4 linked regions of the Danio rerio genome follow. The protein of the gene in region 4 interacts with the protein of the main gene of each other region in a pairwise test. Links are inferred from orthologs where the notes say so. Each region holds a gene or a part of one and is shown on either strand. Other genes may lie near its edges. The genes, in order: obi1, ssna1, csrnp1b and tceanc.

The links.
Region 1: the proteins of tceanc (region 4) and obi1 interact in binary tests that used the Homo sapiens proteins (3 or more experiments, as listed by UniProt). The two-hybrid records come from large-scale screens. The link is inferred for Danio rerio from reciprocal best matches to the Homo sapiens genes TCEANC and OBI1.
Region 2: the proteins of tceanc (region 4) and ssna1 interact in binary tests that used the Homo sapiens proteins (3 or more experiments, as listed by UniProt). The two-hybrid records come from large-scale screens. The link is inferred for Danio rerio from reciprocal best matches to the Homo sapiens genes TCEANC and SSNA1.
Region 3: the proteins of tceanc (region 4) and csrnp1b interact in binary tests that used the Homo sapiens proteins (3 or more experiments, as listed by UniProt). The two-hybrid records come from large-scale screens. The link is inferred for Danio rerio from reciprocal best matches to the Homo sapiens genes TCEANC and CSRNP1.

What each region holds. Positions count from the first base shown.
Region 1 is NC_133181.1:5,242,027-5,247,555, forward strand, and holds the start of obi1 (ORC ubiquitin ligase 1), read left to right. Parts: upstream 1-2,272; 5' UTR 2,273-2,341; coding exon 2,342-2,413; intron 2,414-4,205; exon of another isoform or gene 4,206-4,238; coding exon 4,239-4,374; intron 4,375-4,672; coding exon 4,673-4,764; intron 4,765-5,529. UniProt on the Homo sapiens protein: E3 ubiquitin ligase essential for DNA replication origin activation during S phase.
Region 2 is NC_133180.1:59,865,537-59,871,240, reverse strand, and holds the start of ssna1 (microtubule nucleation factor SSNA1), read left to right. Parts: upstream 1-2,007; 5' UTR 2,008-2,246; coding exon 2,247-2,298; intron 2,299-4,560; coding exon 4,561-4,760; intron 4,761-5,704. UniProt on the Homo sapiens protein: Microtubule-binding protein which stabilizes dynamic microtubules by slowing growth and shrinkage at both plus and minus ends and serves as a sensor of microtubule damage, protecting microtubules from the microtubule-severing enzyme SPAST.
Region 3 is NC_133199.1:23,586,985-23,592,702, reverse strand, and holds the start of csrnp1b (cysteine/serine-rich nuclear protein 1b), read left to right. Parts: upstream 1-2,041; 5' UTR 2,042-2,210; intron 2,211-2,879; exon of another isoform or gene 2,880-2,959; intron 2,960-3,188; exon of another isoform or gene 3,189-3,255; intron 3,256-5,718. UniProt on the Homo sapiens protein: Binds to the consensus sequence 5'-AGAGTG-3' and has transcriptional activator activity. May have a tumor-suppressor function. May play a role in apoptosis.
Region 4 is NC_133176.1:39,098,999-39,104,078, forward strand, and holds tceanc (transcription elongation factor A N-terminal and central domain-containing protein), read left to right. Parts: upstream 1-2,404; 5' UTR 2,405-2,649; coding exon 2,650-3,855; 3' UTR 3,856-4,029; downstream 4,030-5,080.

The sequences.
Region 1 (5,529 bases), on a different chromosome or scaffold from region 4:
GCTACCGGTCCCAATATTGTCATATCCAAAAAAAAAAAAAGAAGCCAAAAATAAATCTTAAAAAAAGAAAGAAAGAAAGAAGTTATTAAACCTACTATGTTTAGAAATGTGTTGAAAAAAAAAAAAGTCTTTCCGTTATACAGAAATTGGGGAAAAAATATACAGAAGGACTATAAAATTCAGGAGGGCTAATAAATCTGACTTCAAATGTATATTTGTGGTGAGCATAAATATTTTAAATAATGCTTTAAATAACTTAAACATTTAAATAATCCCACCCCCGAACCTTGAAACAACAACACTACAATCAGTGCAATTCATAGCTGTACCTTTCTTTTTAACAGCATCAAGGATGACCTTCTCCTCTTGAAAATGTGTTTTTGTGTGTAGACTCGTGATGCTCTGGATGAATCATTTCACTGGAGACCTGCTGATGAAATGGACGTCTCTTGTTGACACAGCTCTTGTTCCACTCGTGAGCAATGAAATGAGTAGCAAGCGATTTCTGCTGTTATTTTTGAGATGCTGATCTCACTGACAGGAGACGAAAGGAGCGAGGGAGTCTGTAGAAAATCAGAAAACCAGGCAAATTTGTGTTATTATGTAAGAGTGTGCTCAGCAGTTTGGTCTCTCTCTAGGAACGATGTCTTATTCTGCGTTTCAGGCCTGCTGGCGTACAGTGGTCTAAAAGTCTGGTCTCTGTGGGCTGTGTTGACATGAAAGAGCTGCAACAAATGACAGTAATGTAGTCGCAGCACCAATAGGCCGCTTGATGCAATCGATGTACAACATTGTTTTGCATCAGTTCGATGCTAATGAAGTTATATCACAAGCACTCGGCCACCGGCTCTGTCACTATGGGATAATAAAGACATCATTTGGCAATGACCAATGAATTATGAGATTGAATCAAAATGAAATAATACTCATAATGGTTTATACTGTCGCAATAAAACTCTCGAAACAAAGGGCTGACTTTAAGAGACCAAACGCTTTGGGAGAAAAGGAGGCAAACACTATTATAAATGCATTAAAAATGTTTGGTGTAGTAAATAAGTGAATAAATAAAAAACATCAATATTTTTTTATGATATATAATAATAAATAATCAAAAATAACAAATAAATAAAACAATAAAAATAACAAAATAATAAAAAATAAATAATTTACAATTATATATATATATATATATATATATATATATATAACAATAAATAAATATTTTCATTTTATATAATAAAAATAATTAAAAATAATAAACAAATAAAACAATAAAAAATAAATAAAAATAAGTATTTTACAATTATATAATAATAATAATAATAAAAATAATGAATAAATAAATAGATAAATAAATAAATAAATATTTTAAATTATATATAATAATTAAAAATAAAATAAATTAAATAAAATAATTAAAAAATAATTAAAAACATTAAAAATAAATAAACAATCAAATTAATATTGTACAATTATATATAAATAATAATAATAATAATAATAATAATACTAAGAAATAAATAATTATTTTTATAAGATAAATAATAATAAATAATTAAACATAATAAATAAATAAAACAATAAAAAATTAAAATAAATAGTTTACAATTATAGAAATAATAATCAAAAAATACATAAAATTTCATCTGGCTTTTAATTGCTGTTATAGGGTCTTACTATAATAAATATTATTTTATAACATATTTATTATTATTAAAAGTAATCTTTATCATTTACTGTTAAATGCTACTACTAATAATGATGTTTACTGAGAGAATGCATGCATATTTTATTATACAAAAATGAAATATTATAATTTATTACTACTCCTACTATTAATTAAACTATTGGTATTAGCTTAGATGATGATAATAATAATAATAATAATAATAATAATAATGCTCACTAAAAGAATGCGTACATATTAGCAGTATATAAGATACAATACAATGTTGATGAAGTTATTAAAATTAACCCATGTATTAATAAATACTACTTCTACTAATAATAATAATGCTTACTGAAAGATTGCTTACCTATTTTATTAGCAGTATATGAGATACAAACAATATTTTTTCAAGATTGAACTGAATAGTTTGTGGCTAATATTTTCTAAAAAAAAAAACAAAAAAAAAAAACAAGAGTTTCCTGCTTGGGAGCAAAACAAATGTACAATAAAACTAGCACTTGATTTCCTTTACATAAAAGCGCCACATTGAGATTTACGACAGACGCGTTTTACAGTAGAGCTCTGCGCTTGCCGTAGTCGCGTGGGTTCCTCGCCTCTTTTTGTCTCTGTTGGAGGGAGTTTTGGATCATGTTGTGCATTTAAGGACTAATCATGGCGCAAAGTTTTCAAAACGTCACTCTTTCGTTGACTTTACCCATATCCTGTCAGATTTGTCTCGGAAAGGTAACAAACTTTTAATACACTTAGTTTAAGTTACCGACAGAAGTTAAACTCGTACAGTGTGCTCGTCAACATCATGTCATTGTTGCATCTTAAATTATGTCTCGTTATGTCCATTATTTATTAATATATCTTTAACATAAAACTATTACGTAAGACACTGTGATAAAATAACGCCTATTAAAGATACAACGTCTAGAAACAGCGATAATTTCTAACAGTAAGTTAACTTACATTTGGTTTGAACAAACAAATTCCTGCAGGTTAACATTGAAGTTAAGTTGGTTTTATATTCACACATTCATCCTTAATAATATAGTTTCACAAAAGCTAATTCTAAATAGGGAAATCTTATTAGCAGCCAATGACTATCAAAGTACAGCATTGTTTACAGTTAAATAAATAGTGCTAATGTTGTTTTGAATCCATACTTTCATGCTTAAGACCGAATATTCAATGTAGCATGGTAAACAATATACGAACTGTTAAATGACCGAATGCGCGAATATAACTTTACCTTCATCTGGTTAACTGTGTTTATTACAGTCCACCCTATACACAACTTAACCTAGCTTTGCTGATTTAGAGTGTAATGTAATGATGCTTTGGTACGATAATTATTGTGAAAAGCGCTATTATACCAGTACACTTAAATAGAACTAAATTAAACAACAAAACATTCAAAAGCACCAGCCCGGTATTTACCTAAACACTTTTACTTCTCTGCTGCGTTGAGATGTATTGCTCAAAATGCAGTTAATGCTAACTGTTAAAAGCGTTTGCTAACATATGCATGTTTGACATGCAACACCTCATCTGATTGGTTTAAGTTTGTTAATGGGCAGGGCAAAGAATTTACTGAGGCAGGATGGGAAAATGGACTTGCTGAGGGTATTTTTTTTTTTTTATCATCTGTCTGTCTGTCCGTCCATCCGTCCGTCCGTTCATCCATCCATCCGTTCATCCATCCATCCACCCACATATATATCTGTCTGTCTGTCCGTCCGTCGGTCCGTCTGTCTGTCTATTTATCTATCCATCATCCATCCACCCACCCACATATCTATCTATCTATCTATCTATCTATCTATCTATCTATCTATCTATCTATCTATCTATCTATCTATCTATATCCATCCATCCATCTATCCATCCATCCATCCACCCACATATCTGTCTGTCTGTCCGTCCGTCTGTCTATTTATCCATCCATCCATCCATCCATCCATCCATCCATCCATCCATCCATCCACCAACATATCCGTTCGTCCGTCTATCCACATATCTGTCTGTCTGTCTGTCTGTCTGTCTTTCTGAATCCTAGTAATCTAGAAGTATTGCATCATAAATATTTATTGTTACTTTATTACAATATTATATCGTACCCTGTAAAATTGTATTTAGAATATTTTTACTAGCTTTTATTCACGTTTATATTAATTTCATATACAATGCTATTATTTAGATTGCTAATTTTTAAATATATTTTATCAAGTACCTGTCAAAATAAATATGTAGTTTAATTTGTACATAAATCCACGTCACCCTGAACGACAATAATGATTATTAATTCATCCATATTTTGACATTTTATATTATTTGAAGCATTTTATAAGTAATTAGCTTTTAGATTTAATATGCTTCTGTGTATGTGAATCATCATTTTTAGGTAGAATTTTTGACCCACATGCATGAGTTATTTGTCATCTTTGTTAACAATGATGAGTAATGTAGATAATGATCATTGTTAGTTGTCATGAATATCAACAAGCATGAATCATGATGCTTAATTTACCTGTTGTTGGTTTTTTTTGGCTCTGATTCGCAGGTGCGTCAGCCGGTCATTTGTTGCAACAACCATGTGTTCTGCTCCAGCTGTATTAAAGTCTGGCTGGAGAAGAGCAGTCAGTGTCCCACCTGTAGAGTGGCCATCACCCCAGAAAACCCCTGCAGAGAAATCATTGGTAAAGTCAACACACTTCCTGGTCAAACCTTGCTGTTATTGAAATATGAAGCTCTTTTTGAATGTGATTAAATATAATTGAAGTAAAAATATTTAGTCTTCCTTTGAAATTTAAATTATTTTATAATATTTCCCAAGTGCTGTTTAACGTAGACACTTTTCCCCTCTGCTCTGTTACACATCACTTGGGAAATATTTGGAAAAAGAATACAAAAATTCACAGGAGGGCTAATCATTTTGCCTTCAACTGTATGTTTCTTCATGTTTGACAGTGTGTGTGTCTGTCTGTATGCTCACAGGAGCCACAACCGATACTGACTCCAATGAGAGCAATTCTGTAAAGAGACGCCTCCGAAAGACTCGAGGGGAGCTGCTTTTACGAGAATATGAGGTTCTTTTGCTCAAACACCCAATAAACTTATCGTTTGTTTTCTTTGTTGACGTTTCTAGTGTAGGGTAGCCTTCATTTACAATTCACCTACATCAGGGGTGTCCAAACTAGGTCCTGGAGGGCCGGTGTCCTGAAGAGTTTAGCTCCAACCCTAATCAAACACACCTGAACTAATCAAGCTCCTACTAGATATACTAGAAACTTCCTGCCAAGTGTGTTGAAGCAAGTTGGGAGCTAAACTATGCTGGACACCGGCCCTCCAGGACTGAGTTTGGACACCCCTGACCTACATCCAATGTTAAAAACCAGTGTAAGCATAGTGTGAAACGTTACAAGCATTTAACCACTTCCAGAGGTAGTCATAAATGCATTTGACTGGATTACTTTCATATTTTGTCACTTATGTGGTTGACTGTGTTCAAACCACTTAAAAGACAAGATTGGAATATGGGAAAAAGTGCACCAAAACAAGATTTCATTTTATTTGTAGTAACAAAACATCATATCACAACCATTTTCATTGACTTGCTTGTTCTTTCTTGTTCACCCCCAAGCCAAATAAGAGATTTCCCTCCAAAACCAGTGAAGAAAATATGCAAAGTTTATATCCTTATCTCCACACATTTGATTTACTTTAATTAGTCTTTAAGACATGTGTTGCCCAGTGTGCAAATTACAGGGGGATTTTTGGAGGAATTGACCCCCCTAATTAACACTTGATCCTCCTGAAGAAGGACAGAATAAGATGTATGTGCGGTTCAGCCC
Region 2 (5,704 bases), on a different chromosome or scaffold from region 4:
TGCTATTTACATGGTGTGTAATAAACATGAATTTGTAAGTGGAAAAATTGAATGCTTTACTAGCAAGAAAATGATTAAACAGAACACTTGCAGCGCGAGGATAAAGAACGAGCCTCCTACTCATCTTTACTTTCTCTTTACTCCTTTACTTTTGTGAAGTTAGGAGCGGTATTGTACACACTCCAAAGACATCTATTAGACTACAAATGAGCAAATCAATGAAAATATCAACCTTGCCATGAAAAAAATCCAAATTACGGAAAATTCATATTATGGTTTCTGGGTTTTTTGGGTAAGCGAGTATTTTACAGTACTTTAGAAATACTCAAAAATGAATCCGTCAATTTTTTCACTTCAGATCATTTTGGAAGGGCACTTTCTATCCTAGACTAAAAAGGGCATGTACACTGCACAGGCTGAGCCCTATGTGTGCACGTTCCTGATCCAGAACACTAAACAGCACGATTTGATTTGTATCTTTGTTCTGTTGTATTCATTTATGCTTTCGATTTGTTTATTGTACATTGTAATAAACACACTCCCTACACAAATATCACAATATTTTAGATTCTTTCCTAATAGTTTTTAATTTAAATCATCTTATGAAGTGACATTAAAATCGTAATATATTTCATAGAACACATGATATTGCAAAATCAGTTCTTGCAAAATCGTGCAGCCCTGTAAAAAGATTATTTTTGATTTCCAATTAGATGCTTTAAGAAGCTTTCTCTTTCAGCATTCTAGCGCCTTTCACCTTATCGTTAGCATTACACGATTTAAATTATGTTTAACACTCACCAGAGAAGATGTCACTGTGTCCCAGGCTACTGACAGTCCCTGCGGCACAGACTGCATCTCGTTCATTAGAGCGCAGATAGTAAACAGCAGTTAGGCTATGCTCGTTGCACTTATCCGTCCATATCCCGTTACTCCGTAATAAACATGTCTAAAATATACAATAAAATATTTCATGCACTGAGAAAATGTAGCGCTCTTCTTCAAACTGCCGTCGCTCGTCGATGACGACATTGATGTTACTTTACCGGATGTTGATAATCGTAAGAAGAAGACGAAAAAAAGATAATCGTTCATTGATCCAGTTGTCTGATACCAAATAAGCTTATAAAACCTTATCTGTTTGCAAATTTTTTTCCCAATGTTTAATGAGTAACTTTTGCTTTTTTAGTTGTTTTTAGTTGTATTTTTCTTCACTGTTAAAGATAATTATTTAGCCTATTTGTTGTTGTATGTATAGTCTTATATTGTATACACTGCTTAGGGGCTTAAAATTATTTTTAAAATAATAAAAATAATAATTATAAGAAATGGCAACGTATAAATACTACTACTACTACTACTACTACTACTAATACTACTACTACTAATAATAATAATAATAATAATAATAATAATAATAATAATAATAACATTTTTTTCTTTTTTCATTATGTTTTAATAAAATTAACAATAAAATATAAAATAAAATAGTAAATAGTACACAGGCAAATTATCCAATTAAATAATATTTACAAAGTAAATAAAAACTTTGTAAATAAAGACAAAAAAATTCACAGTTTTAACACTTTTTGCTGTAAACTTTTTGTAAAGAATAATAATAATAAAATGATGATGATGATGATGATGATGATGATGATGATGATGATGATGATGCAAGTTCTTTGCGACTCTCTCATGAATGATTGTTTGCTTAATTATATTTAAAATGATTAACTCAGTACCTATTACACATTTATTATTATGATTCATGCGTTCGTTGTTTTTTATCTATCCTCTATAAATTAAAACTCAGAAGGCCTGTTAGGTGTAGTTTAATTTACTGGAAAGGCATGGGATGTGTTCAGTGTACTTTATTGTCATTGCATTTTCATATTCTGACTGCCTTTTTATTTGTTAAATGATTCATCTTTTTTACAGCTTTGTGCAAATTTATAAAATAAAAGTCTAACGGAAACCGTCATGACGACGCTTCTTTGACGTTTCCGTGGAAACAGGAGGGAGACTTGACTTGATTCACTCGCTTCTGGAATGTTTTCTTTAAACTTACTCCCCTCGCTGATCTGCATCATTTAATACCCGGTAAAGTGTACGGCTTGTTGTTTCAAGGAAAAGCCTGCATCAGAAGGTACAGCAAACTAACTGACTTCACTGTATGAAACGTCTTGAGCGATTAAACTAGTTAAGAGGCCTTTTTGTGTTGTTAGCTAGCTAGCCTGGTGATCAGAATGACCCAACAAGGAGCTGCGCTGCAAACCTACAACAACGAGCTTGTCAAGTGTAAGTAGCCATATATTTCATTTTGCCGACAGGGGAACATTCGTTTCCTGTTTATTTTAAATTTCTTGTTACTTTCATCTGGTTGTATGTGGATGTTTGCTGCTAGTCTCACTCAAATTAGCTTATAAATAATCAGAAAACTAGTTTTAAAAAATCGAATTCATGTTCAACCAATGTTTAACCTGTGCCTTTGTTCATTTACATTATTAACCTCACTGCTTTTAGCAAAGAAGGCATTTACTTATTTATAAGAAAGATCAAATTGATGTCTTTTCAAGTCTGGGGTGAAACACCGATAATCCTTTTAATGAGATTGAGTGGATTCAGAAAGTATTCAATCACGTGTATCAGGTAATGTCAGGGTTCATACGGTCATGGAAAACCTGGAAAAGACATGGCATTTTGACATGGCATTTTCTAGGCCTGGAAAAGTTTTGGGAAAACAGAAAAACCACTATGTTTTGGAAAAGTAATGGAAAACATATGTTTATACTTGAATATAGGTTATTTTACGTTACTTCTTTTCTGTCCCTGGTCAGTCACATACTCTCACATTATTGGTGAGAGAATTATCAATTTTACATGGATATAAATATAAAATGAAACTAGATGGATTGTTGCATGTTTTATGATATGTAATAAATTTAAACATGCATTGTTTGTCTTTTACCACACATATGTAGACATTGCATCTTGAAAAAATCATGGAAAAGTTATAGAATTTTAGTAGTAAAAATGTGTATGAACCCTGTAAAGTCTTTGCATTAGGTTAAATGTTGAACTCCCAGTTAGTGTTTCTCACTTTCACATATGTGTTGTTCATCACTTAAACTATGATCTTAACACACCGACATTTGACAATAAGGTAAAATAACATCATTTGTCTTCATTTTGATAAACATAATATATGTTAATTAAACATTGTTCTAACATTCAGGTCACATTTTAAAAATACTGTAAAACTCTCAATTCAATTCATGTATATTTCTCTAGTGCTTTTCAATGAAGAGTGTTTCAAAGCAGCTTAACATAGACGTTATAGTAAATTGATACCATGTCAGTCCCGTTTTCAGAGTTGAAGTTCAGTTCAGTTCAGTGTGGTTTAATTTTCACTGCTGGAAGTCCAAAAACTAAAGAGCGGGTGTTCAGGCTGCCCCACAGGATCAATGCAGGGACTCGTCTGTCAATGTGGTCTTTCAGGAATCATTCTCATGCTCTTCGCTCCTTCATGACTGCCACAGCATCCACTCAGAATACGGCCTGGTTGAGGATATGGATACCTCTAAAAGTCCTCTATGGTTGGCTTAATTTCTTCACAGGTCTTGGATCATTGGCGCTGCGTAATCTTTAGAGGCCTCAGGATGAGTTTCCCCAGGTGGAAATAGAGAATAATAAATCCTGCCTTAAAGGAAAGATAAAGAAATGCAAAATTCCACCTTCGGAACTTAAGCCACTAATAAAAGGCTATATTCTAAACAAAGGGCAAACAGAATGGGATCAGTGCTCGGAAAATAAACTTTGAAATTCAGCCAGAAATAGGAAGAAAATCCAATTTATTTTTTATCTCAAGACACGGTAAGATTGTTTATAGAAGATGCCGCATCTGCCGAGACTCACACATGAACATTTACTTAAAGGAGAAGAACCAGTAAAATGTCAATATTGCCAAAGAAACCAAACTGTTAAACATTCTTGTGGAATGCCCTATTTAATGTTATCAGACAATAGTTTTTATTTGGAAAGGCTTTAAATAAAATAGTTTTAAATGGGAATCCTTCTAAAATTGTAAATTTTATATCAAAAGTAATCCTTAAAAACTTTTTTAGATTTTTATCTTGTATATTATCATTATTTATTTATTTATTTATTTAACCTTGTTCATTATTAATTGCTGTTAGTGACTTTTAATTGTTAGAATATTTTTATAACTATAGAAAAGTGAAACTTATAATATGTGGTAAACTTGATTTTTTATTATTTTTTTATTTTTTATTTTATTTGCCATGACATAACCAAAGAAGCTGAAATGGCAATAAACTCAAAATTCTCTCTCTCCTATACAGTAGCCTCAGCCCTTAGTCTTTTTTGCATCAGTCAGCAGGAGGAAGTGCTGAGCAAGCCTTCGTATGTCATTTATATGCACTCCCTTTCCACTATCACAACATGAATGTAAAGCAACATAAGGAAAACATGGATATGGGCTAAAACTGCTCAGCAATTTCAAATGATGGCCTCTTTCCTTCTCTTTGTTTTTTTTTTCAGGTATAGAGGAGCTTTGCTCTAAAAGAGAAGATCTGAACCGGCTGATCCAGCAAGAGGAAGCAGAGAAAGCTCGTCTGCAACATGACATCCGTGTGCTAACAGAGAAGCTAAGTCGTGTAAACGAGAGCCTGGCCCACCGCCTCAGTGCTCGTGCTGAGTTTGACCGCACCATTGCAGAGACGGAAGCTGCGTACATGAAGGTGTGGAAACAATAACAAATTAGACATTATCTTCATAGAAAAAAAACAAGTCGCTTTATTAAAATTGCATCAGCGAGAACTTTATCGAGCGAGAGAATTGAATTTTATTTTTCAGAAATTATGTGATACGAATTTGCTAAACCCAGTGCCAGCCTAGTATCTCAAACAAATTCATGAATTAAACTTGTACAACCTTTCTAAAATTAATGAATAATTAAGGAATTATTGTTTAAAACATAGGTGTCAGTGCTGTTGCCTCACAGCAAGAAGGTCACTGGTTCGAGCCTCGGCTGGGTCAGTTGGTATTTCTGTGTGGAGTTTGCATGCTCTCCCTGCGATAGCACGGGTTGCCTTCGGGTGATGCGGTTTTCCCCACAAGTTCAAAGACGTGATATTGGTGAATTGGGTTTGCTAAAATTGACTGTAGTGTATGTGTGTGAATGAGTGTGTATGGATGTTTCCCAGTGACAGGTTGCAGCTGGTTGGGCATCCGCTGCATGAAACATAAACTGGATAAGTTGGCAGTTCATTCTGTTGTGGCGACCCTTGATTAGTAAAGGGACTAAGCCAAAAAGAAAATGAATTAATGAATGAACACCGGTGACAAACTCGGTTACTAGAGAGCCGCGCTCTGCACAGTTTAGTTCCAACCCTAATTAAACACACTTGAACAAACTAATTTAGTCCTTCAGACTTGTTTGCAACCTACAGGTAAAGCTATGGTCACACTAGAGTTTGAGCTTGTGAAATTCTATTGTACGAAGCTGCGAAAAGGCGAGGGATTAAATAAGATAATTAGACATTTAAAAAAAAGTGAGGGATTGGTCCATTTTAAAAATTTCTGTCCAGAGAGATTATGTTTTTATCCTCGATTGGTCTCTTTTTTTTTCTTCTTCTTTTTTTTTTTGTGTTAACAAGAACTAGCATGTAGTTTTCTTATACAA
Region 3 (5,718 bases), on a different chromosome or scaffold from region 4:
TGCGTTGGAAGCACACTGAGTCTCTTTTTCCCTCTTTAACAAATTTCTCAGCTGCTCAAGACCACGGCGACACAGCAAGAGTCTTTACCCCTAGTGGTTTTGTTGGCGTGAGTTGAATAAAGGAGTAATAAAGTAGACCTGCATTCATTTGAATAGCATCTAAAACCATACAGGCGGCAGCCAAGCTAATCAGGAAAAAATTCCAGACCCATAAACACACACTTATGATTTTACACGTGCAGTAATAAGTAAACCATTACTGATGAATCACATCGACGATTATAGTTACACACTCCTTAGTAACATGAACTCCATAAACAACAACATTGTCTGTAAATGTGCTCAAAAGCTGTAATTTGAGCACTGCTTAGCTTAACGGTGTGATTTGTGTATTGAAACAACACCAGACCTGTGACTCTCAGCAAGCCACCAGACTTGTGTATTTAGTTTTGGGATGGAGAAGATAATTCTCTTTACAGGACCCAGAGGGCTGAAGCTCTCTAAGAAGAGGAGTGCGATTGCGTGTTCAATCTGTACTTCTGGCGACTCCACCTAAACACTTAAGACACTTTGTGTTTTACACCTGTGTTGACACTGGCAGCACTCCCTTTTTCAATAGAAATCGAAAGTTTACTCCACCCGAACGTGTCTACGATGTGCACGATTCTGATAAACACTGCATTAGTGTAATTCTGCATTACAGAGGCGTGCACAGTTAATGATGACACAGCTGACAGGACGAGAGATGCTGTAGATATAGGAGGACACGGCATGTTCAGTCATACCTGAAATCACTGGGATGCATCGTGAACTTGCCATCAACCCCAGTCCAACCTAGAGAAGGAATGCAAATGTAATGTAATCTAATGGCTTATTCAGTATGTCTGAGAGTTGTTTTCATGTCGGCTCAGAATGCCGCTGCAACTGTATGACCAATAAATTAGGCAATGGTTTTACAAGTTTTGCTGCTGAATGATGCAGAAGGATTGCGGGATTTACTGATAAATGATGCAGGGTTTATGACTCACTACTTCAGTGAGGTTGACTCAGGAAATCTGATTGTATAAACATCTATCAAACTGCATAGATTTATTCATTTAAACAGTTTTTGTTATAATTGACATCACAATAAATGTATATAAAATGTAAAATTTATGTAAAACATGTAAAGAGTGTAAAACAAAAATGTAAACAACTATAAATACCATTAATACAAATTACTGTATTAATGTACAACACATTACTTTACATATATAACATCATTACATTTTACAGTCCTATATAATTTTAAAATACTTTTTAAATATAGTTCACATATAACATTTTGTAATATTTTGAGTTATTTGTCCATATATAATTATTTATTATAATTATTTATTATCATTATTTAGTAATAATATTAATTTTGATTATGTGATTGACACTTTTATATTGATTATATACATTTTAACATAAACGTCGCAGAAAAAAAAAATATATACACATACATATATATATATATATATATATATATATATATATATATATATATATATTTTTTTTTTTGATTATGTGATTGACACTTTTATATTGATTATATACATTTTAACATAAACGTCGCAGAAAAAAAAAATATATATATGTGTATATATATATATATATATATATATATATATATATATATATATATATATATATATATATATATATATATATATATATATATATATATAGAAAGCTACTTTAAAGCAAAATAGATTCTGGTTATCTTAAAATGTTTTAAGAAAGCACAATTGATCATGATTTCAGTGTGTATACTCCAATATTTTGCCAGCCACTGTGGTTACCATAGTAAATGTTTTGAAGGCAATGAAAGATTTACAGTTTCCCATAACTCGCGCTGTTGTTCCGGTCTCTCTCTCGTTCTCTGTGTGCGCCAGGAGGAGTGTCGCCCCGCGCGGAAGGCAGGAAGCGGCGCGTGGGCTCAGTGTCACCGCCTGCGTCACACGCCAGGAGGGAGTTTTCCACTGACGAAAAGACTGCGCTGCTCCGCGTCTGCTTCAGACAAGAGGAACAGCTTCAGCTGCCGCTCCAGTCCGCCGAGCGCACAATAGCCGCACGAACACAACGGGATCTCTTTACGGATAAACGCGCGATCGCATCTCTTGGATTATTACAGCTTCATCTTTTCCTAGATAGTGATTTACTAATGCTGATCGGACACGTTATTGGTGAGTAGCGGAGCTCCGCGCTGTTTAACGCCGCACTTGTAATGTGTCTAATAGGCAAACCTCGGATCTGGAGTCCAGCCAGATAGTTTCAATGTTCTTTTGTCGGCCAGTGTAAAGAGATAAAATGTGTTGTGTAACTATTTCAAGTAGCAAATCCAGAGGACATTGTTGTATACTGTCGTGGCAGAAAAAAAAACTAACTAAAGTTATTAAGCCATTGTCTTGCGTTTTAATTGTGTTATAATAAACTCTGGTAAGCTTAATTAATTTAATTTCTGGTGCTTTAATGTAAACCGTTTTAAGTGTGTAGATCGGTCTAAATATTCGCGGGTTTTATGCTTTTTTCTGTCAGTAATTTTGATTGGCAGTGTTTGCTGGGTTTTAATAAAAGATAGCCTTATTCTCATAAGCAGCTGTTGGCGGTTCTGATCGGATCCATTGGCAGAATTCCAGGATAGTGGACCGTATGTGTGTGTATCCGATAAGCCGTAATTGCTAGTTTGAATGTGTGTGAGTGTTGAGTGCATTCCTCGTTCACGTTTATAGCGCTGGTGTAGCCTATCTTCTGAAGCGCGAGCGACTCCTTAAGGTGCCACACCGCATCAGTTCAGTAGTCTGCATGCAGATCTGCGCTCAGCCTCATATGCACTTCCAGTCCTCGATGACGTCACCGAGGGTGCATACAAGGCTGAATGCAGGTCTGGGGGAGACCTTACTTGATCCGATCCAAACTTCAGCTGGTCGAACCGGTATTTGATCAATAGCCTATAAATGGCTTTTACAGTGCTATTTTATTTGGCTACATTTAAAGGCGCACATAACCAATTGCCTATAATTCATTCACAAAGAAAAGTGTTTTTTATTTATTTATTTAAAAGCAAGCAAAACAGTCTCCCCAGGTCATTTGATAATTGGTTTGATTGACAGTCAATCACGAGGCAACAATCACCAACACGTTGTGCTCTGCGTGATTGGGATAACTGAAGTAAATTAATATTCTCATTCCACTCGGTTTGTTACAATCTCACGGCATTCCTTTTGTCAGGTAATTTTCAATTCCTGACTGTGAGCACATTGAATGTTTGATGGTGGGATTCATTGAGCTTGTTATGTAAATTTTAGTTCAATAATTTCAGTATTTTTTGAAGGCACGAGCGCAGAAGGGTGTGTTATGATGATGATGCTTGTATATTTGTGGCTGTGTCGTAAGTTTGAGTGTGTTTATTTTGCGCGTGCTTCTGTGTGAACGAGCGCGCAGTCGCTGTCACGCGCGACCTCACTCGGATTGTTTGTGGGAACACAAGTCGGATTTTTTCTGGTGTTTTTGTTGACATACCTCACACATTTAGGGGATTTATATTCTTAAAACGAGCTTAGTAAGTCCATTAGCGTTTTATTTCATTTAAAATGCTTTTGCACTACCCTGTGGTAAACTGTTTACAAGTGAGACTTTTTATTCCCATAACCTGCGATGTTGTTTTGAATTCAAGTGCACGTTAAACTAATCAAACAGGACCATAAAAGATTGTATTGTTTACTTACTTCTGGGTTGATGAGGTGTGAACTTGCACGTGTTCCAGAGTCAGTGAAATCACTCAGCTGGTTAAAGTAGCATGTCTGGATAGTTTCCTCCCTCTTCCTATTTAAATCCAGTCATGCTTTGAAAAAATTGAGATGATGCCGTCATAATTGGTGTACATCACAACATGTCATTTTTATTAATCTCCCACCCACAGGCAGGGTGTTTTTATTTGGATAGATATGTGTGTGGCTTTTGTGCAATAGTATTGGGGGGGGTGTTGAAGTCCTGATGTCTCTAAAACCGAGAAGCAGAGGGAACCCATCTGTTTTGTCACTCTCCAACATTCCTCCCAGCTTGTGAGGTACCAGCAAGTGCCCCAGACGTAAGCTGATGACCCCTGGGCTCCCCCCATCCTATAGACGCACACATATACTCTCCCTTGTGAGTCCCGAGAGACTGGTAAAGATGGCTAGTATTTGTTTTTGTCACCATTAAGTTAGTCAGAACAAACTCATACAGATGACTTCTCAAGGAACCTACACTTTGCGGACTGTGTTGGAAGTTTGCATTTCGGATATTGATGCAAATTGCTGCATGTGGAAGTATTTTCTTTCAGTTTTGGCAATTTCCTGAGCAGTCAGAGTTTCTATTCGTTGACATAAACCAGGAGCAGTGATTCTCTCGAAACTGTTAAATAACTTTAGGAGGGTGTTTTGAGATGTTTTTCTTATGGCTCTTAGCATAATTTAGATGACCTTTAGATGGTGATCTTCATAATAATTAATAATCGGTTCATCGTCATGTGAGGGACCCCCATCCTAAAAAGTAAACAACAGTATATGGTCAAACAGATCTGATTCATTTTGTTATTTTATAAAATGTTACATTTCCACCTCTCTGAATTCCAGTGTGAAATATTGTCTAAGTTAGAATTGGTACCCTTTTTGCTTAAATAACTTTTTAATTCAAATTGAAAACATGTCTATGGAAATGCGAAGTTTGATGATGTATTGAATCCATAGTGTAGCATGTGAGAGAAATCTTCATCTCCACCCTAATAACATCATCTCGTCAATATGACAATAACGTCATCATCTCTAATGATTCGCGACTCCATCAGGTGTTTGTGTCGGTGTTTCTGTCTGAGGTGGATCCTCTTGGGCAATAGTGGTCTGGACAATGCAGACACATCTGGGATAGATAGACTATTACAGAACGTGCCGCTATGCCAGAGTAGAATTCCTGTGGGCTGGAGACATCGCATTATTTATTTGTTTAAAGTTCTCGCCCGCTACCCTCCTCCCACATCAGTGCGCTCTCCTATTTGGGATGAATGTGTGCTCTGCATGGGTTGAGGCTCAGGAACAGAATGTCTCTGGCGTAGTTTAACATCTAGAGTGATGATCGGCACAACCACACATCTCCCTCCTCTCGCCTGACTGCAGTTTTTAAAGGCTGACCAGCAGAGGGAGGGTTTCTTATATTCTGCTGGAATTTGAATTCCAATACAATTATTGCAAGTGATTTTTTTTTTTTTTTTCACTAAATATTATTTATACTTGCGCTTTTTAGATAGTTAAGATGAGGTACACCCTGCACATTACTTAATCATCTGGATGGGTGCTGTGAGCTGGAGGGGCAAAGTCAACCCTTGCATAATGTTAGGTCAGGATTCCACTGTTTGAAGGTAGTTTAGACAATCGGCTCAGTGGTGCAAGTTGTTTTTATGCTTTGTAGAAGCAGGAAGGGAAGAAAAAAAGTGTTTCTAAAGTGATAGTTCACCCAAAAATATGACATACTCACCCTCAAATGGTTCCAAACCTTTATGACTTATTTTTTTTCTGTTGAACACCAATGTAGAAATGCTGGAGAAAGCTTAAAAACCTGTAACCATTGACATCCCTACATAGTAAAAATAACAAATACCATGGAAGTCAGTAGCTACAGGCTAACAGCTGTCTGCATTTGCGGGGAAAAAAAAATACT
Region 4 (5,080 bases):
ACAGTTCTTATTCTAATATTTTTAGCAGTAGAAATTTTATTACATTCAAAAGCATTATGTACTAAGCACAGGTATAAGCTTAGTGAAATGTTTGATTACATATTAATAATCTGTTATTGACTGGTTAAACTGAATGTTTAGAAAAAAAAATATATATATATATATATACCAGCAAAACTTTGAGTGCACAAGCATCACTGTTTGTCAATTAAATGACAACCATAATTGAATTCAACTATACAATCATGTCAATCATATTTATAGGTTACATTTCAATACTGGGGACTTAAATGTATGCCAGTTTTGTAATTTGGATATAACAATTAATCATTTGTTTTTCCAATGTAATCTGGTACAAACATTTTGGTATGATAATTAGTTTGGATACAACATAAAATTTCATCTTCATCCTTTTTAGACTCATCTTCTCATGCAAAATTCTTAAGTTTGATTTAATAGTAAGGATAAAAAGTTATTTTGAAAATGAATATTTGTATCCATTTCTCAGTGAATTTCTCAGGCAATGTATTTTGGTGCATTTAAACAAAACAGATTTATTAAACAGATGCTTTAAAGGATTAAGTCATAAAACATATTTAGAAAGTAAAAGATAATACATTTAAATTCAAGCCAAATATTGCAAAATAATAATAATAATAATAATAATAATAATAATAAATTAAATAAAAAAATTCAACCTACAAAATTTCAACAAAAACTTTCAATTTCTTGATATCTCATTTTTAAAATTTGTTTTTAATATTTTTCTATATCATATCAATTTGGGTGTACTAGTTTTTGGAACGTTATCGTAAGTTATTTTGTTAGATAAGCTAAAGATTTGGCTTCAGTGCTGACTAATCTAATGTATATGCACAAATATGATATTTTATAGCTTCATATTAAAAATGTGAATTTAAAAGATAAATTTGTGAGGGGTGTATGCTGAGCACTTTATATTAAATAACTTGTTGACATTATTACAATTCTATATTCATAAAATTTAATTTTTGGTGGTATTTAAAGATGAATATGTGATAGCATATTGGTTTTAGAATTTGAGTACTTCATCTCCCCTGCTACTTTTTCAATTATTTATTTTGTTTGTTAACTTTTGTTATTTATTTATTTATTCATTCATTCATTTATTTATTTATTTATGGTGTATTGTTATTATTAATGTGAATGAAAAGATTGTGAATGAAAAGATTGTGAATGCAAATTGATTGTCATCTCAGTCTTTTTGTGTAAATTAAAAAAAAAAAAAGTATTAAAGCTTTTCTGTTATTGTTTAAGCATTGTTAATTAAAAAGAAAAAGAAAAAAGTATCTAGCAAGACAGGACATTCTTATTGAAATATTCCAGACTCTGTACAGAATATATCACTTGGGAGTTAAAGTATAAAGTATGAAATAGTGTGCGAGTTGGCAAAGAAAGCACTAAAGTATACTCTCTAAAATGTTAATGTCCCATTGGGCAAATCTGAAATGTAGGGTTTAATTAAAGTCAGTAAAAAAAAGATGGCGACAGACATGGACTCAGGAAGAAAGGGGAAGACAATTGTATCAAATAATGAGGTAAGTTGGGTATGACAGGTTTGTGACAAAAGAAGGGATGACAATCTCATGCCTCCGAATTGGGCTCACTGCATTAAACCAATCACTGTTTGAAATTGGCAAACACGATACAGGTATGTGGAGTATATGTGGAAATCCAAAATTAGTTGAGCGTGTTATTTTAATTGTCATAGTTATAATGAGGAAAGATCTCAGCTTATGGAGGAAATGAAGAATGCAGGAAGTTTAAATCTAACACTAAAGAAGTAATAAATTGAATAACTAAATAAATAAACGGGCAACTCGGTGGCGCAGCGGGTAGCACAGTCGCCTCCTTGCAAGAAGGTCACTGGTTTGAGTCCCAGTTCGAGTCCGTTGGCATTTCTGTGTGGAGTTTTCATGTATTTCCTGTGTTGGCGTGGGTTTCCTCCGAGTGCTTCAGTTTTGTCCCACAGAAAAAGACATGCACTTGGTGTATAAGCTATGAGGTGTATAGGTGCTGTATTAGCTGTGTAAAACATATATTGGATAAGTTGGCAGTTCATTCTGCTGTGTCAAGCCCAGATGAATAATAGGACTAAGCTGAAGGAAAATTAGTGAATGAATTAATAAATTTAATAACTAAAGATGTTAATTTAATAAAAACTAAAGTATACCTAAAGTATCTTAAAAGACATTGTTACTTAGACAAGTTTAATTTATGTATTTGATTAAATAGCTTACCATTTTCTTTTCCCCCCATTTCTTTGCTTTGGTCTATTTCTGTATTCCTTTCTATATCAACCCCTCACCCTCCTCCCCACTAGGTGGCGGAAATTCAGTAAAGCTGCCAAAGTTTGCAAGAAGAAGAAGAAGAACAACAACAACAACTGCATTGCGTTGATGAAATACATGGCTGTAGAAGTAGCGACTTTGTAAAAAATGTTTTACTGCTTAGTTAATAAAGAAGATACGTGTTTGTCTGCAATTCAGATAACGTTAGCGGACATATTTTTATTACGCTTGAAAACTAAGCTAACGCTTCGGATTCTTCAAGAACAGTATTTTCCAGGTGTAACGCTACTCCTTAATTTTCCTTAATTTCGAAGACGTCATGCATACTAGAGAGATCATATATTATGCTACACAAATCGAAAGGTTGCACGAGGACGGCAGTTATGAAGATGTTATATCATTACTGACTGAACTCGACATCACTTCTGTCACGTTAGAGCAGATTCAGACAACAGATATTGTAAAAGTTCTTTACAGACTGCTTAAGTCCTGTCCTGTTTTGAGTGCTAAAACAAAAGCAAAAAGCTTGCTGACAAAATGGAAGAAGTTGTACAATTTGTCACATGCAATATTACTCAAAAATAATGACAAAAACACACGGGAGGACAAGGAATTAGAGACGCCAAACAGAGAGTCAGAGACGCATAACATGTCTAATGTTGAGTTACCATTGGGATTTCCATTTTTAACCAATGGATTTCAGCCCTTACATGAAAAAGTGAACGAGAGTCAAGCATGTAACACAAAGCAGCTTGATATAACAAAGGATGCAAACCAGGGAAAATGTAATAATGTATGCTTTAATGCATCTTCTAAAAAACTTTGTATAGCAACTGAATCTGCAGAATCTCTCCAGCCACAGCTTGAGCAAGAGAGCCTCACTCCAGCCGTGGAATCAAATAGATCTGATGCAGAGGAAGGTGCTCAAACCTCAGTTCCTCAAAACACAAATCAGCACACAACTAACTGTGACTCTACAGCACTGAGATCCAAATGTGTCCATCTGATTCTTCAGGCTCTTGGCACAAACCAACAAACAGACCCAGGTCATATGAACAAGCTCAAAGCCCTTGCTGAGAACATTGAGTTGCATGTTCATGCTCTTCATGGACGAAACCAGCATAAGTTCAAGTTTCATATTAGGAGCAAGGTTGCCAACCTAAAGAACCCAAACAACCCCCACCTACGCCAAGGCCTTATTTCAGGACAACTGACTCCAGATGCATTTGCCCAGATGTCTGTAGAGGAAATGGCAGGTGAGAAACTTCGACAGCTCAGAGAAACTTACACTAATTTGGCCATCAGTGAGCATCAGTTGCCAGAAACAGTTGAAGGCACCCCTACCAATAAAGTTCGCTGCAGGCAATGTGACAGTATGGATTGCAGGGTGACTCAAATCTCACGAGGGACTCTTTTCTTGCCATCCTGGGTGCAGAGTGGCAGTGCAGATAATGATTCTATGACTTTTATGACCTGTGCTAATTGTGGAGAACAGTGGTACCACAGTAATTGGGTTTGCCTTTGAGCAAGTGCGTAAAGATAGCAACATTGTTCTGTATTATTTGATCTGTACTATTGAAGTTTTTGTTCACAATGATGTTAAGATTGTCAATTATGTAGTCTTCAATTTGGTGCAGTGAACCGTATAATGCGCATTCATGTCTGTTTTGGAAGAGATGAATACACCAAGAATAATAAATATAATCTCTAAAAACTGGTTTTAGATGCATGTAACCATTAAAAAGGTAATTAATGTCTGTTTTAATCTAAGTATCAGTATGGCTAGACACACTTTTTTATGTTGACTTTAGATGTTTTATTTGTCCTCCAAAAACTTATGTAAAGTATATATTTAGATTATTTTCCATAAGTCACTGTTAAGTCTGTAAATATGGAAACGAATAACTATTGAACTGCTGTAAACATACATTTATAATTTATTATTATAATACGTATTTACTGGTTTTTAAACTTTTTTTCTTAAACTCTTCTCACATCAAATTGTTTTGTACATTACACGTCATCTATTTGTTGCAGTTTTTTTTTTTTTTTTTTTTACTAAAACAAGCTTCCCACACTTTTAGAAGGTACTTAAAAACAAACAGGTCCTTAAGGTTTGTGAATTAAATTTTAAATGAAATTCGATTATGCTGTTATTTCCACAATTGTAAAAACAATTGTAAAAAAGAGGTAAATTCTTAATTAGTATCGAATTCGACAAATTTTATTAAAGTTTTTGAACATGGCTATTTAAAATAAAATTCTTCATTCAAAAAACTCATCATTATGCACACAGTATTATTGTTAATTTTAAGTGTAAGTGAACTGTTGAGTACAGTAAGAAGTTTCATGGTGGTGGCAGTTTTAAAAGTCGTTGAAAGTCCTTGAATCTGCTGTTAATGAAAGAGTGGGAACCCCTGTATAACTGTGATGTTCTGTAATGACAGTAATCACATTCATAAACATGAACATGCTACATTCGGATAACACAAAGGAAACAGCTCAAATTTGATCTTGTGTCTAAGCTTAGCAAATGTGACGGAAAGTGTGCCACATCCAGAAAGCATGTGTAGTTGCTTTATGATTGCTTGGAATAATAATAATAAAACATCTTAAGTGCTTAGTTGTCTTACTAATCAGTTGTTACATCGAGTTGATTTCTTGCATATGTTTGTAATGAAATGACATGACTGTATGTGTTTTATAGAGAGGTCATGCTGCTAATCTGTAATGTCTGTAATGAATTACAG